Linked DNA regions of Ovis aries. The protein of the gene in region 1 interacts with the protein of each later gene in a biochemical or structural test. Links are inferred from orthologs where the notes say so. Each region holds a gene or a part of one and is shown on either strand. Other genes may lie near its edges.

Region 1 (4,336 bases):
GAAATGTCACTGTAAACACCAATGAACACATAGCATCAACTTCCCTGGGTCTGTCCTCCAGCCACTCCCATTTTTGTCTTCATTTTACTGATAGGAAACCAAACTCAGATTGCATACTGGGCTCATGAGCTTCCTCCAGGATTTTGCAAGTTGAAGGCAAAAATGGATGAAATAAGAGAACAGGCTCCTGCCGCTAGCAGTCCAGAGGTCCTTCCTCGACATCAGCCATCCCTGAGGGATGGTGTCCATTCTCACTTGTGTGGGATGCAAGGCCAAAATGAACAATGCAAAGATCTATGTATCCCATTTAAGTGACTGTCCTTTATTCAGAGATCATGCCCTTTTTCAGTGTTAAAAAATCTTTTTTATTTGTCCATGCCTCTCCACTTGAGGGATCTTAGTTCCCCAACCAGAGATGGAACCCAGACCCTTGGCAGGGAAAGCCCTTAATCCTAACCACTGGATCGCCAGGGAAGTTCTTTAAAAAATAATCTTGGAATTTCTGTGGGAGGATAAGTGGTTATGACTTCGCCTTCCGATGCAGGGGGTGTACCAATCTCTGGTCAGGGAGCTAAGATTCCACACGCCTCACGGCCATAAAACCAAAACATAAAACAGAAGCAATATTGTAACAGATTCAATAGAGACTTGAAAAAAAATCGGTTTGGAAGAGATTATGGTTGGTTACGGCTGATGGTAGGGTTTGGGTCAGGTTGGGAGTGGCGGTGCGTAAGATGGCAAAATGAAAAGTTGGCAACTCTGTGTTGGTCTCTAGAGTATGTTTGGAAATGTTAGACGTCTCAAAGTCTGGGGGCCACTGAGTACCCTCCTCTCTCTCCTCAGGCAGCCTCCAAGCACAAGGTTCCCTTTGCTTTCCAGTCTGGGAGGTCTGCGAGGGCCTAGAGCGAGGGGTGGGGGTGAGAGAGAGATGGGACAGCCTTGATGGGAGAAACCTCTGCTGCCTTTGTGAAGCTGGGGCAGGGTGGGGGTGAGATAATCACCCTGGAATGCGAGGGGCCAGCAGGGGAGAATACCTCTTGAGTGGAGGAGTCCCAGCCGGCCTTGGCAGCCTCTGTGTTTTTCCTCCTTCCTTCCTCTCACCCGCTGCGATGGCACAATGGACAATGGCAGGCACACAATCCCCACGGAGGAGATGGGCCGGTGCAGCTGACCCCGACTCTGGGGACCTGCAAGCCTGTACCCACCCCCTCCCACCCCTATTGGAACCCTTGATCCCTGGCCCTGCAGCCCCCGTAGCTTCCTGTTTGCCTGCTCTATTTGTCTGGCCCCAGGGACAGAGCTGATCCTTGAACTCTGAGTTCCACATCGCCAGGACCAGTGAGCAGCAGCAAGGCCTGGGCTGGGCTTATCAGCCTCTGAGCCCAGCCCTGCCTGGACACATAAATAGGCTGGGGGAGAGCTGGCTGATTAGACTGCTGGCCATTGAGGTAAGTGCTGCTACCCGCTCCCCAGCTCTAGGCATTTGAGGCTCTGGGATGCTGGCCGGAGCCTCTACCCCAGGCTGGGGGCTCTGGACCCCTGGCCCTCCCCACCCTGTGCCCCGCCTCCTCCTCCCTGGCTGGAGTGAGTAGGGGATGCATGGGCTTCTTCAAGCCCTGCTCAGCTGGGCCCCTCTTCTCCTCCAGGTCACCCACATCCCTTCAAGATGAAAGCCGTGGTGCTGACCTTGGCTGTGCTCTTCCTGACGGGTAGGTGCCCCGAACCTAGGGAGCCAACGATTCGGGGGAGGCTTCTCCCTGAACCCCTGCGGACCACCCTCCTGGGCCCAGGAAGCAGAATTACTCCTTTCCACCCCTCTCCCCTGCCAAGCACTTCTGCTTAGATCCCAGCCCAGAGCTGGTCTGATCTGGGTCTCCCCTCTCCTTCCCAGGGAGCCAGGCTCGGCATTTCTGGCAGCAAGATGAGCCACAGTCGTCCTGGGATCGGGTGAAGGATTTTGCCACCGTGTATGTGGAAGCAATCAAGGATAGTGGCAGAGACTATGTGGCCCAATTTGAAGCCTCCGCTTTGGGAAAACAGCTCAAGTAAGAACCCGCTTGTGCCTGGGGCAGGGGTCAGGGGTGTTGGTGCTGGGGGATGGAGAAGCCTGTGGGAAGAAGCAGCCAGACTGGCCCAACCCCCACCTCCTATTTGATGGGCCCCATAGAAGCAAGAAGTGGGATCCACAAGCAGGATCAGGGCCCCCCAGTAAGGGGCAGACCAGCGCTGTCTGGTCAGTATTCTCCGCACTGCACTCTGCCCTTGCCTATTCTTAACTCCCTTCTCAGCTCCAGCCAGCAACAGAGATGGCTGTCTTCAGAGAGGAGAATGGGCTGGAAGAGTAGAGACTAGGTCCTTAAAAGGCCCACCTTTGGGGACAGACAGGATCAGGCACCAAAACCAGCTTCAGCTCTATCTCCTTCTAATTCCTGCATCCATCTGGTCAATGGGATGCAGTGGGGAGTGGGGGGCAGACCGTGGATGGGAGACGCTAGGCTAAGGATCTGTCCCCAGCTACCCCACATTCAGGCACAGGTGTGCCCAGGTCTCACACGGGGCAAGCACGGGCGCTGGGCTGCAGCTCTGGGGGTAGCCAGGGGGCCCAGGAGGTTTAGCCTGAGCCCTCCTCTCTCTCCCCTTTCAGCCTGAAACTCCTGGACAACTGGGACACCCTGGCCAGCACCTTGTCCAAAGTGCGTGAACAGCTGGGCCCGGTGACCCAGGAGTTCTGGGACAACCTGGAGAAGGAGACAGCGTCGCTGAGGCAGGAGATGCACAAGGACCTGGAGGAGGTGAGGCAGAAGGTGCAGCCCTACCTGGACGAGTTCCAGAAGAAGTGGCACGAGGAGGTGGAGATCTACCGCCAGAAGGTGGCGCCGCTGGGCGAGGAGTTTCGCGAGGGCGCGCGCCAGAAGGTGCAGGAGCTGCAGGACAAGCTGAGCCCGCTGGCCCAGGAGCTCCGCGACCGCGCGCGCGCGCACGTGGAGACGCTGCGGCAGCAGCTGGCGCCCTACAGCGACGACCTGCGCCAGCGGCTGACCGCGCGCCTGGAGGCGCTCAAGGAGGGCGGCGGCAGCCTGGCGGAGTACCACGCCAAGGCCACCGAGCAGCTGAAGGCGCTGGGCGAGAAGGCCAAGCCGGCGCTGGAGGACCTCCGCCAGGGCCTGATGCCCGTGCTGGAGAGCCTCAAGGTCAGCATCCTGGCCGCCATCGACGAGGCCTCCAAGAAGCTGAACGCCCAGTGAGATGCCTCGGGCTGCCCCACCCTGGGCATCTCTTCGGTTTCTTAGAATAAACATTTCCGGAGTGGAACGCGCGTGATGGGTTTTTTTTGTTGTTGTTTGAAGATTCGATGATGATTTTTAAACAATAAAGTTTTCCAAAAGCCAAAAATTCTGTTTGGGGAGAATGGGCATGGGGGGATCCTGGAGGGGCCTCCAGGGGGTAGTGGTCAGGGACACCTGGTGATGTCCCAATGGAGTCCTGAGCTCCAAACACTGGCCTCTCAGGGCCTTAATGTTACAGGGACTGCTTGTCTGGGGGCTGAAGGGTGGGGCAGGAGATGCTCTTTCATTAGGAGGCCCAAACAGGAAGGAAAGAGAGGACCAGGCAAAGTGACAGATGATCCAATGCAGGTGCCCTCAAAGAGCTTCAAGCAGGAAGTACTGGCTTTGCTGGGAGAGGTGGGCTCCCTGTGCCCAGCGTTTCTCCCGGCAGAGGACATAGCTCCCCAGCCCTTCTGCTCAAGGGCAGCTGAGGTTGGAGGGACCTCAATGAGCCTGTGGACTTCAAGGTTCCCACAGTAACCTTCCTGTGGTTCCTTCCTAGGGCAGGTTCAAATGAAGGGCTTGGCGCTTGCTCCTTCCTCCCTTATTAATTCAAAATGTACTTTAACAAACACATTCTTTGTCACCAGGGCCTCTTGCCACTCCTCACACTCCCACCCAGCTCCAGAACAGCTGCTGTTTCCTCAGGCTCAGCAGCGCTAGCCCCATCTTCATGGCTCCAAGCCTGCCAGCCCCTGTATTCTGACCTAAGAAAAATAATCACCACCTCTTGCAAGTAACTAGCTCATTCTAATCTCCAAGATGCTTTCATATCCATCATCTCACTGTACGCTTTCCCAGATCCTGGGTGGTATGGATGCAGAAGCTAGAGCTTGGAGATGTGAACTCATTTCCAAGACTGAATAGCAGGATGCCCTAGGTTGCCCTTTCTAAAAATATGTGCCTTTGAGCATCCATGATTATTAAAAAAAAAAAAAAAAAGGCCAGGCATTGAAGTTTGTATGTAATTGAGTGTTCCCAGCCAGCTCCTCTTCACACTAAGGTACACA
Region 2 (4,623 bases), on another chromosome or scaffold:
TTCTGCACACTCTAAGAACCACTGGGCTTTTATAAATGAAATGAGTATTATTAAAACTGAATAGTACTCAGCTGCAGACATTTGCAGTTAGCAACAGTTAGAAATAGACCTGGAACAACTGACTGGTTTAAAATTTGGAAAGAAATACATTAAGGCTGTATATTGTCACCTTATTTAACTGACATGCAGAGTACATCATGTGAAATGCTGGGCTGGCTGAAGCTCAAGCTGGAATCAAGATTGCCAGGAGAAATATCAATAACTTGAGATATGCAGATGACACCACCCTTATGGCAGAAAATGAAGAGGAACTAAAGAGCCTCTTGATGAAGGTGAAAGAGGACAATGAAAATCAGCCTAAAATGCAACATTAAAAAAACGAAGATCATGGCATCCAGTCCCATCACCTCATGGCAAATAAATGGGGAAACAATGGAAACAGTGAGAGACTTAATTTATTTTCGTGGGCTCCAAAATCACTGTGGATAGTGACTACAGCTGTGAAATTAAAAGACGCTTGCTCCTTGGAAGAAAAGCTATGACAAACCTAGATAGCATATTAAAAAGCACAGACATCACTTTGCCAACAAGGTCTGTATAGTTAAAGCTATGGTTTTTCCAGTAGTCATGTATGAAGGTGAGAGTTGGAACATAAAGAAGGCTGAGTGCCAAAGAATTGATGCTTTTGAACTATGGTGCTGGAGAAGACTCTTGAGAGTCCTGGGGACAGCAAGGAAATCAAACCAGTCAATCCTAAAGGAAATCGACCCTAAATATTCATTGGAAGAACTGATGCTGAAGCTGAAGCTCCAATAGTTTGGCTACCTGATGCAAAGAGCTGACTCACTGGAAAAAACCCTGATGTTGGGAAAGATTGAAGGCAGGAGAAGGGGGTGACAGAGGATTAGCTGGTTGGATGGCATCACTGACTCAATGGACATGAGTTTGAGCAAACTCCAGGAGATAGTGAAGAACAGGGAAACCTGGCGTGCTGTAGCCCATGGGTTGCAAAGAGCTGGACACGACTGAGCAACTGAAAAACAACAATAAAACCATGATAAGCACTACCATTGAGTATAGTTTGCATCTACACTATAGCCTTAACCATTCTGTGTGATTTGTTGGAACAAGCAATCAGAGAAGACACAATGAGTACATTTTACTGATTTCAGGTTGGAGAGCTTTGCAGAATAGGAAGATGGCAACACAGTGTGGGGGACATGATTGTGAAAAGGAAATGTTTACTTGAGAGCCCCGTCTCAACCAGATTGCAGGAGTGTCTCTAATGGATTTGAAACAACCACAAGAAGGGCTTTGTCCAGTGCTGAAAAGCATTCAGAACAAAGAGACCCAGATTGACGGTTCCTGCCCCTGTCCTGCACACTGGCTCATTTCGGGAAACCCTTTGGCAGCTGCATGGGGTAGTGATGTGGCCAGGATTCTTTGGCTCAAGCATGAAGAACACCAGGGGAAACATAAGCATGAAGCAAGAGCTGAAGTCTTTAACAGAGAGGTTGTTTGTGGCTTTGTTACTGGAAAATGTGAGTAACCTTAATAAGGCCAAAGTGTGGAGACACAGCAATTACAAAATCAAGAAGGGGGTGGAGTGAGATACTGGGGACATAAAAGCATCAGCAGGTGCCCCCAACAGCACTCCTCTTCCAGAGCCAGACACACCAAAGATGAGGTGAGTCCACAGTTTGCTCCTATCCCTCACTTTTCTCTGGATTATTTCATCCTTCTTTGGATATATCTTTTATCTACATGACAGCCTGGGTACAGGAGAGGCCTACAGGAGAAATGCAAAAAATATAACGAAGAAAAATAAGGCAAATGGACTAAATCATAGACTTTGTTTGCTTTCTGATGCACAGCGTGCAAGTATCTTTTATCCTCTCAAAGCTTCTCAGGGTTTGTTCTGTCCTTGGCTCTGACTCCTGATTATTTAGGGTGGATCTCACTCTTCTTAGACTTCCCTGGTGGCTCAGATGGTAAAAGCATCTGCTTACAATGTGGGAGACCTGGGTTCGATCCCTGGGTTGGGAAGATCCACTGGAGAAGGAAATGGCAACCAACTCCAGTATTCTTGCCTGGAAAATCCCATGGACAGAGGAGCCTGGTGGGCTACAGTACCACGGGGTCGCGAAGAGTTGGACATGACTAAGCAACTTCACTTCACTTCACTTCACTCTTCTTTGCCTGGGGGAATCTACTCCTGTGTTTGGTTTTAGAGCCAGGAAGCACCAAGGCTCAACCAGTATTTATGATAAGAATTATCTTCCAAATAGTAGTGTGTTTGTAGAGGATCCTCTATGTTCTATGTGCTGCATAAGGTTCTGGAGGAGATATTGGAAATGGATTAAAGCTTGGTCCTTGACTTCTAGGAATTATGAATTTGGAGCAGTCCTCTCAGTCATTACCTCATTGTTTTCCAAATTTCATTCATTTGCACATCAGCTTCAAGGTTCTTGCCATATTCCTGTGCTGCCCATACCACTTCTTTTTGTAACATTCTCCCTGGGGTGTCACTGGCAGCTCAGTGGTAAAGAATCTGCCTGACAATGCAGGATTCGATCCCTAGGTTGGGAAGATCCCCTGGAGAATGGAATGGCAACCCTACTCCAGTATTCTTGCCTGGGAAATCCCAAGGATGGAGGAGCCTGGTGGGCTACAGTCCACTGGGTCGCAAAGAGTTGGGCATGACTCGGTGACTGAGCACACACATAGTGAATAAAGGTTTACTGTGCAAAAATTCTCTGCTTTTCTGTGTCCATAAAAGGTAACGTTTTCAGATGGTGCTGTCTTCTTTCCCATGAGACGTGACTCTCTCTAAGGAATAGCTTTTTCCTTGAGATTATAAAGTTTTCATCTTTGTGGGGAAGCCAGTAGCTCCTGTGGTAGACCTCCTGACGTTTTTTCCCCCTTTTTTGGCCACACCACATGGCTGCGGGATCTTAGTTCTTCAACCAGGGATTGAACCTGGGTCCTTTGCAGTGAAAGCTTTGAGTCCTAACCATTGGACTGCCAAGGACTTCTCCCTGGCATTTTGAATATGCCTATTAGCAGATTAAAAAAAAAAAAAAACATATAATGAGAAAGACCAGAAGCGAAACATTTGAGTGACACAAGGCACTCAGATTTTATCAAAACAGACAAATTTTTTTTCTGAAATGTTGAAATAATGAAACTAGGAACTTAACCAAGCCATCTCTGAGTAGTTGCCATCTTCCAGGGAGATGGTCCACGGGGGGGTATGGCCTGTGCGCTGATGCCCATGTGCACAGTCAAGCTTCTGCGGAGTCCGTTATCATCCAGGTAACCTTCTGGAATTTGGGGGTTCGCTATATGACTTCCTGAAGTCAAATTCTCATAAAATAATAGAAACAACTACATCAGTGTTTTATATTTTAGGGAACCTCTTATTATGAAAAATTCCCCAAAGTAGAGAGAGTAGCATAATGATAAGCCCACCACCACCCCATTGTCTAGATACCCACATTCTTTAGTGGAACCCTCGTAGCCCAGCACCTCAGGGTGCTTCCCACCCCAAGGGAGGCTTCTCTTTGCTGAGGAGCTCATATGTTGTCAACAATTTAGTGTTTCCTGAATCCTGCTACACACTGAGGCCCAATCCCTTCCTAATCTTCCTTGCTCTTCTCTGAAGCTTCTGTAGAATTCCCAGCAGCATGGAACACATGGGAACCTCTGTGACTGGGAAGCTGCTACAGTATGCATGTGGGTGGGTGAGGGGTTTCTAGGTAACAGGAGGGGAGTGTGTGTGTTGAAGCGGGGAGACCAGCAGCGCCCTCCTTTCTGTCTTCTCTGCAGCGTCCTTCCAGCTGTCATCACTCTCCTGCTCTGTGGGCAGCTTCTTGCAGTGGAAACTGGCAGTGAGGCTGCAGGTAGGTCTGCCTCTGGGCGAGGGCTGTACCTGGCCGCATTGCTGCATCCCACTTGGGCCCATCAGATCTGCATGCTCTCCAGGAAAATCCAATTGCTCCTTATCCTGATCTCTGGTCTTTCAGTATCGTAAAGAACATTGGGGAGCCAGCCAGCCAGCAATCTCTCCTGGGCTTCCGTTTGGGGTGTGGGAGGTTGATATGCTGTTTCTTCTCTCCTGATTTTTCCAGTCTCTAGGGGCAGTTTCTGAAAATGAACCTTGTCTTCCTGTTTTCCTTTGCAGCCGGCAGCTGCCCAAAGGCCCCCGAGATTGCCAATGGCCACGTGGAGTACTCGGTTCGCTATCAGTGTGACAAATATTACAAACTGCGTGCTGGAAATGGTAAGCCTGGGCCAATGCCTCCGGGTCCTCCTGTCCCAACCCCGGACTGCCTTGAGACCGTCTCCACTATTGCCACGACTGCCACAGTCACCTTGCCCATTGTCTGTCCTGCTGAGCTTTACTGGCGCCCCCAGCACTTGGCTTTTAGCATAGTGCTCCTGTCTTGCTCCTCTTCCCCAGCCCTCCCTGCTCCTACTTCTCTGACTCTGCCCTTTAAACACCTTCTCTTCTAGTGCTAGGTGCAGCTTTTGGCTCATTTTTTTTTCTTTTTGTTTCAGGGGTGTATACTTTTAACAATAAGCAATGGATAAACAAGGACATTGGACCGCAACTCCCCGAAT
Region 3 (4,590 bases), on another chromosome or scaffold:
CAGCGCTCCCAGATGCTGCGGCAAATGAGGCTGACCAAGACAGAGCGGGAGCGAGAGGTCAGTGACCTTTCTCAGCTCAGGGCAGGGTCTGACTTGGGGAGAGGCCATCAAGTGGGGGCATCAGAATGACTCACTGCGGCCCCCCTCATTTTCCCTGAGGCTGGGTGATCACGCTGGGCCAGCTTGGCTCCCCACGGCACTGAGGCGACCTCCTCTGGTTGTCCTCAGGCCCAGCTAGTCAAGGACCGGCACTCAGCCCTGCGGCTAGAGAGCCTGTACTCGGACGAGGAGGATGAGTCTGCAGCTGGGACTGACAAGATCCAGATGACATGGACCCGGGACAAGTACATGGCCACGGAACCCTGGGACCCCAGCCACACGCCCGACAACTTCCGGGAGCTGGTGCATATTAAGCCGTGAGTGCAGCAGAAATGGACCCAGCCGTATCCCAGCCTGGGGGTGGGATGGGGGCAGATGAGCCCAGTGGGGTGATCCAGGGTTGGGATCCACGATCAGCCACATTATCTGCAGGGACCAGTCTAATGTGCGGCGCATGCACACGGCTGTGAAGCTCAATGAAGTCATTGTCACACGCTCTCATGACGCCCGCCTGGTCCTACTGAACATGCCCGGACCGCCCAAGAACAGCGAGGGTGATGAGAACTGGATCCTTTGGTGGGGAGATGGGCAGTATATGAGGTCAGGCTGGGAGCTCCTGTCCCTGGATGCCCTGGGCGTTTGCAGGGTACTCCAGCTCTGCTTGATGGGCCAGACTTCCCTGGGTGCTTCCCTGGGCGCTACTTCCTTGACTGATGCCCCACAGACATGGAGTTCCTGGAGGTGCTGACCGAGGGCCTCGAACGAGTGCTCTTGGTACGTGGCGGTGGCCGTGAAGTCATCACCATCTACTCCTGAGCCCAGTATAGACTTGTGGCCTAGAGTGAAGGTATCCAGGGTAACACAAAGCCCCCCTCCAGCACCCACCTGCCAGCCCCACTTTGCCTGGCCTCACCCTGGACCCAGCTTTACTAGGTCTCCTTGGAGACTGGGCCCAGACCTGGCCATGGAGATGGATCTGAGGTCCCTCGGGACCCTGAGAGGTTCGGGGACTTGCCCGTCCAGCACGCCAGGATGCCTGTCCTGACTGGAGAAGACTGGTGGGGGCTGACATGGGGATTGAAGGCAGCTGGCCCGGGAGCGCTATTTATTGCATATTTATTGTTTGGATGTCACCATCAGAGAGGAGGGGAAGGGTGACAAGGGAGGGATCCAGCCCAGCCCGCCTGCAGGAAGATCTGACTCAGCTCCTGTGGGCGGGGACCCCCACCAAGCCAAGTTGAATGGAACCAGCCAGCTGAAGCCTGACTTTTTTCAATAAAACATTGTGTACTTCTGGGCCTCCCGCTGCCCCGGCTCTGTTTCCCCTGGCACGGGGGAAGAAGGCGGGACTGAATCCAGGCCCAGAGCCGGCTCCCTGAGGCTGTGCCCCTTTCCGGCAACCGCTGGCCAGCCCCATTGGCCAGGCTGTCCCTCCCACTGGCCCTGGGGCCCCTCCCACCCCTACTCCAGATAAGGCCAGCCCAGGACCGCTTTACCGGGCACCAGGCACTAGGGCTGGAATGGGGCTGCCCGGCTCCCCGCGGCAGTGGGTCCTGCTGCTGCTGGGGCTGCTGCTCCCCCCTGCTGCCCCCTTCTGGCTCTTCAATGTGCTGTTCCCCCCGCACACCACGCCCAAGGCCGAGCTCAGTAACCACACACGGCCCGTCATCCTCGGTAAGCCCCCGCCAGGCCCGATACACCCGGGATAGCCCTTGGGGAACCAGGGCCCCCGCCCCTGGTAGCACAGCCTGCCGATGCCCTTCTGCCCATGCGTTAGCCCCGATTTTTAACTCAGTGTTTGGAGGGGCCAGAGGCTTGTCCTGAGGAGAAATCCACCCCTTCTCGCACCACACTGTTCCTGTGTCTCCAAGGTGTCTCCCCCAGGTGGGTGGAGTGGCGGGTGGGTGTGCCGGAGGGCTTGGTCAGGGCATTACAAGCTGTGGTCAGCTGTAGCTGTAGCCAGACCCTGGGTCCAGCCCCCTCTCTCCCCCCCGCCGCTCCTTCCTCAGCCCCCACCCCTGCAAGGACGAGGTGCCCAGCCCAGGAGAGCAGGAGAGGCCTGTCAAGTCCTGCCCCCGCTCCCCACACTATTTGTTCTCCTCTTGGACTTTGGCAGAGATGGAGAGTCATGCTAGCTGTTTGCTCTGTGGGGGCAGGGGTCAGTGGCCTTGGCCACTGGATCTTCCCTCTCTGGGGGAGTCTGAGCTTTGGGGAGACGGAGCAGTGGATATGAACAGAAAGGATCTTGTCCTTAGTCTCTGGGGGTTGACGGTGTGTATAGGAGAGGAAGGGGTGGGGCTAGTGACTGTGGTGTCGGGGAGGTGAGGCTAGGGCGGGGTCCACCACAGGGGAATGGGAGGGATCCAGAGTGAAGGCTGGTGCCCGCAGTGCCCGGCTGCCTGGGGAATCAGCTGGAAGCCAAGCTGGATAAACCGAGTGTGGTGAACTGGATGTGCTACCGCAAGACAGAGGACTTTTTCACCATCTGGCTAGATCTCAACATGTTCCTGCCCCTTGGGGTAGACTGCTGGATCGACAACACCAGGTGGGTGCTGTCCCCTCTGGCCTAGTCCCTTGCCCTGCTCCTTGGCCGGGTCTGCTGAATGTCCCACTGCCCCCAGGGTTGTGTACAATCGCAGCTCTGGGCGGGTGTCCAATGCCCCCGGTGTACAGATCCGTGTCCCCGGCTTTGGCAAGACCTACTCTGTCGAGTACCTGGACAGCAGCAAGTTGGCAGGTGTGTGTGTGCTGAGGGAGAGGTGGGGCTCTAGGCTGTGTTGGGCTTGCAGGGGCCATGGCCATAGCCCCTGGTGCTGCCGCCTTCCCCACAGGTTATATGCATACACTGGTACAGAACCTGGTCAACAACGGGTACGTGCGGGATGAGACAGTGCGGGCCGCCCCCTACGACTGGCGGCTGGAGCCTAGTGAGTGTGTCTATGTTTAGGGGGCTTGGGGGGCAGGGCAGAGGCCCCCACCTCCAGCCATGCTGACCCATCCCCGCTGCAGGCCAGCAGGAAGAGTACTACCTGAAGCTTGCTGGGCTGGTGGAGGAGATGCATGCCACGTACGGGAAGCCGGTCTTCCTCATTGGGCACAGCCTTGGCTGCCTGCACCTGCTCTATTTCTTACTGCGCCAACCCCAGACCTGGAAGGACCGCTTCATCGACGGCTTCATCTCTCTCGGGGCTCCCTGGGGAGGCTCCATCAAGCCTATGTTAGTCTTGGCCTCAGGTGAGAGGGCCTGTGATCACTTGGGTCCCATAGGATGTGGGGGCGTGGTGGAAAGAAGCTGACTGTGGGCTAAGCCCTACTCCTGTTTTCTCACAATGCCCAGCTGGGGGGTGTTGTCTACCACTTCTGGGAAATAGCCCCTTTCATTGTCCTTGGAGAGCAGTGAGTCCAGCCTGGACTGTTAGACAAATTGCTGACAGTTTGTCTCAGCGATGATAAAGGGGAGGTAAACAAAGATGAAGTGAATCCCAGCAACCTGACTCATTGCTCAGTCTGACTGAAGTCTGTTCCTTCTGGCCTCAGGTCTACCCACTCAGCTCCCAGGAGGTGCTTTGCACGCGGATCTTCCCTAAGCCAGGCCACAGCAGATCTGCCAAAGCCAGGGCCAGACCCCAGGAGCCCCTCCTGCCCTTCCCTGAGGAGTGGCACAGATACCTCGTGTGGAGCATGTACTGTAGGCTAAGCACACCTGGACATGGTCTTACCCCTAGGAGCTGAAGTGAAGGAAACACCAGACCACATCAATGGGTGTCAAACAGAGATGGGTCTCATTTCATCCTTCCCAGAACACAGCTCTGAGCCCTGTGCAGCACAGGCCACAAGGGTCAACAGACACTTGCCTGAGACAGAACTGCCAGCACTATATCCCCCCAACTCATACTCCCGTCCTCATGAAACACTGCTCCCCTACCCTCCTGTTGTAGCCCTCCAGCTCTGCCTGTCAGAGGTGCCATGGGGGCTTCTCAGTTAACAAGTACACATGAGCACTTCTTGAATGCTAGGCCGGTTCTAGTCTAGGACTTGGAGTCTGTGTTTGGATTGGGTAAGGACAAGATTGAGTGTCCAACTGGCTTGGGCTGGGGGGCAAGTTGTGGGCCTGGAGTAGCCAGGCCTGCTGGCTGGAGTAGCCCTGTCCCACCTTACTCTCTGTCCCCAGGTGACAACCAAGGCATCCCAATCATGTCCAGCATCAAGCTGAAAGAAGAGCAGCGCATGACGACAACGTCACCCTGGATGTTTCCTGCCAGGCAGACGTGGCCTGAGGACCACGTGTTCATTTCCACCCCCAGCATCAACTACACAAGCCGTGACATGCAGCGCTTCTTTACAGACCTGCACTTTGAGGAAGGCTGGTACATGTGGCTCCAGTCACGTGACCTGCTGGCAGGCCTCCCAGCACCTGGCGTGGAAGTGTACTGTCTGTATGGCATAGGCCTGCCCACTCCTAGCACCTACATCTATGACCACGGCTTCCCC

What was found. The genes of interacting proteins can lie anywhere in the genome.
Region 2: the proteins of APOA1 (region 1) and haptoglobin form a complex in vitro, tested with the Homo sapiens proteins (2 studies listed by BioGRID and IntAct, with this or other methods). The link is inferred for Ovis aries from reciprocal best matches to the Homo sapiens genes APOA1 and HP.
Region 3: the proteins of APOA1 (region 1) and LCAT form a complex in vitro, tested with the Homo sapiens proteins (6 studies listed by BioGRID and IntAct, with this or other methods). The link is inferred for Ovis aries from reciprocal best matches to the Homo sapiens genes APOA1 and LCAT.

The regions. Positions count from the first base shown.
Region 1 is NC_056068.1:27,235,420-27,239,755, reverse strand, and holds APOA1 (apolipoprotein A-I), read left to right. Parts: upstream 1-1,309; 5' UTR 1,310-1,448; intron 1,449-1,646; 5' UTR 1,647-1,666; coding exon 1,667-1,709; intron 1,710-1,891; coding exon 1,892-2,045; intron 2,046-2,644; coding exon 2,645-3,245; 3' UTR 3,246-3,312; downstream 3,313-4,336. UniProt on the Homo sapiens protein: Participates in the reverse transport of cholesterol from tissues to the liver for excretion by promoting cholesterol efflux from tissues and by acting as a cofactor for the lecithin cholesterol acyltransferase (LCAT).
Region 2 is NC_056067.1:38,561,998-38,566,620, reverse strand, and holds the start of haptoglobin, read left to right. Parts: upstream 1-1,652; 5' UTR 1,653-1,682; coding exon of another isoform or gene 1,683-1,687; 5' UTR 1,688-3,253; coding exon 3,254-3,315; intron 3,316-3,828; coding exon 3,829-3,902; intron 3,903-4,183; coding exon 4,184-4,282; intron 4,283-4,560; coding exon 4,561-4,623. UniProt on the Homo sapiens protein: As a result of hemolysis, hemoglobin is found to accumulate in the kidney and is secreted in the urine. Haptoglobin captures, and combines with free plasma hemoglobin to allow hepatic recycling of heme iron and to prevent kidney damage.
Region 3 is NC_056067.1:34,984,715-34,989,304, reverse strand, and holds the start of LCAT (phosphatidylcholine-sterol acyltransferase precursor), read left to right. Parts: upstream 1-1,619; coding exon 1,620-1,773; exon of another isoform or gene 1,774-1,983; intron 1,984-2,487; coding exon 2,488-2,644; intron 2,645-2,720; coding exon 2,721-2,836; intron 2,837-2,930; coding exon 2,931-3,026; intron 3,027-3,108; coding exon 3,109-3,333; intron 3,334-4,270; coding exon 4,271-4,590. Other genes in the region: SLC12A4 (solute carrier family 12 member 4), read left to right, coding at 1-57, 229-416, 532-847. UniProt on the Homo sapiens protein: Central enzyme in the extracellular metabolism of plasma lipoproteins.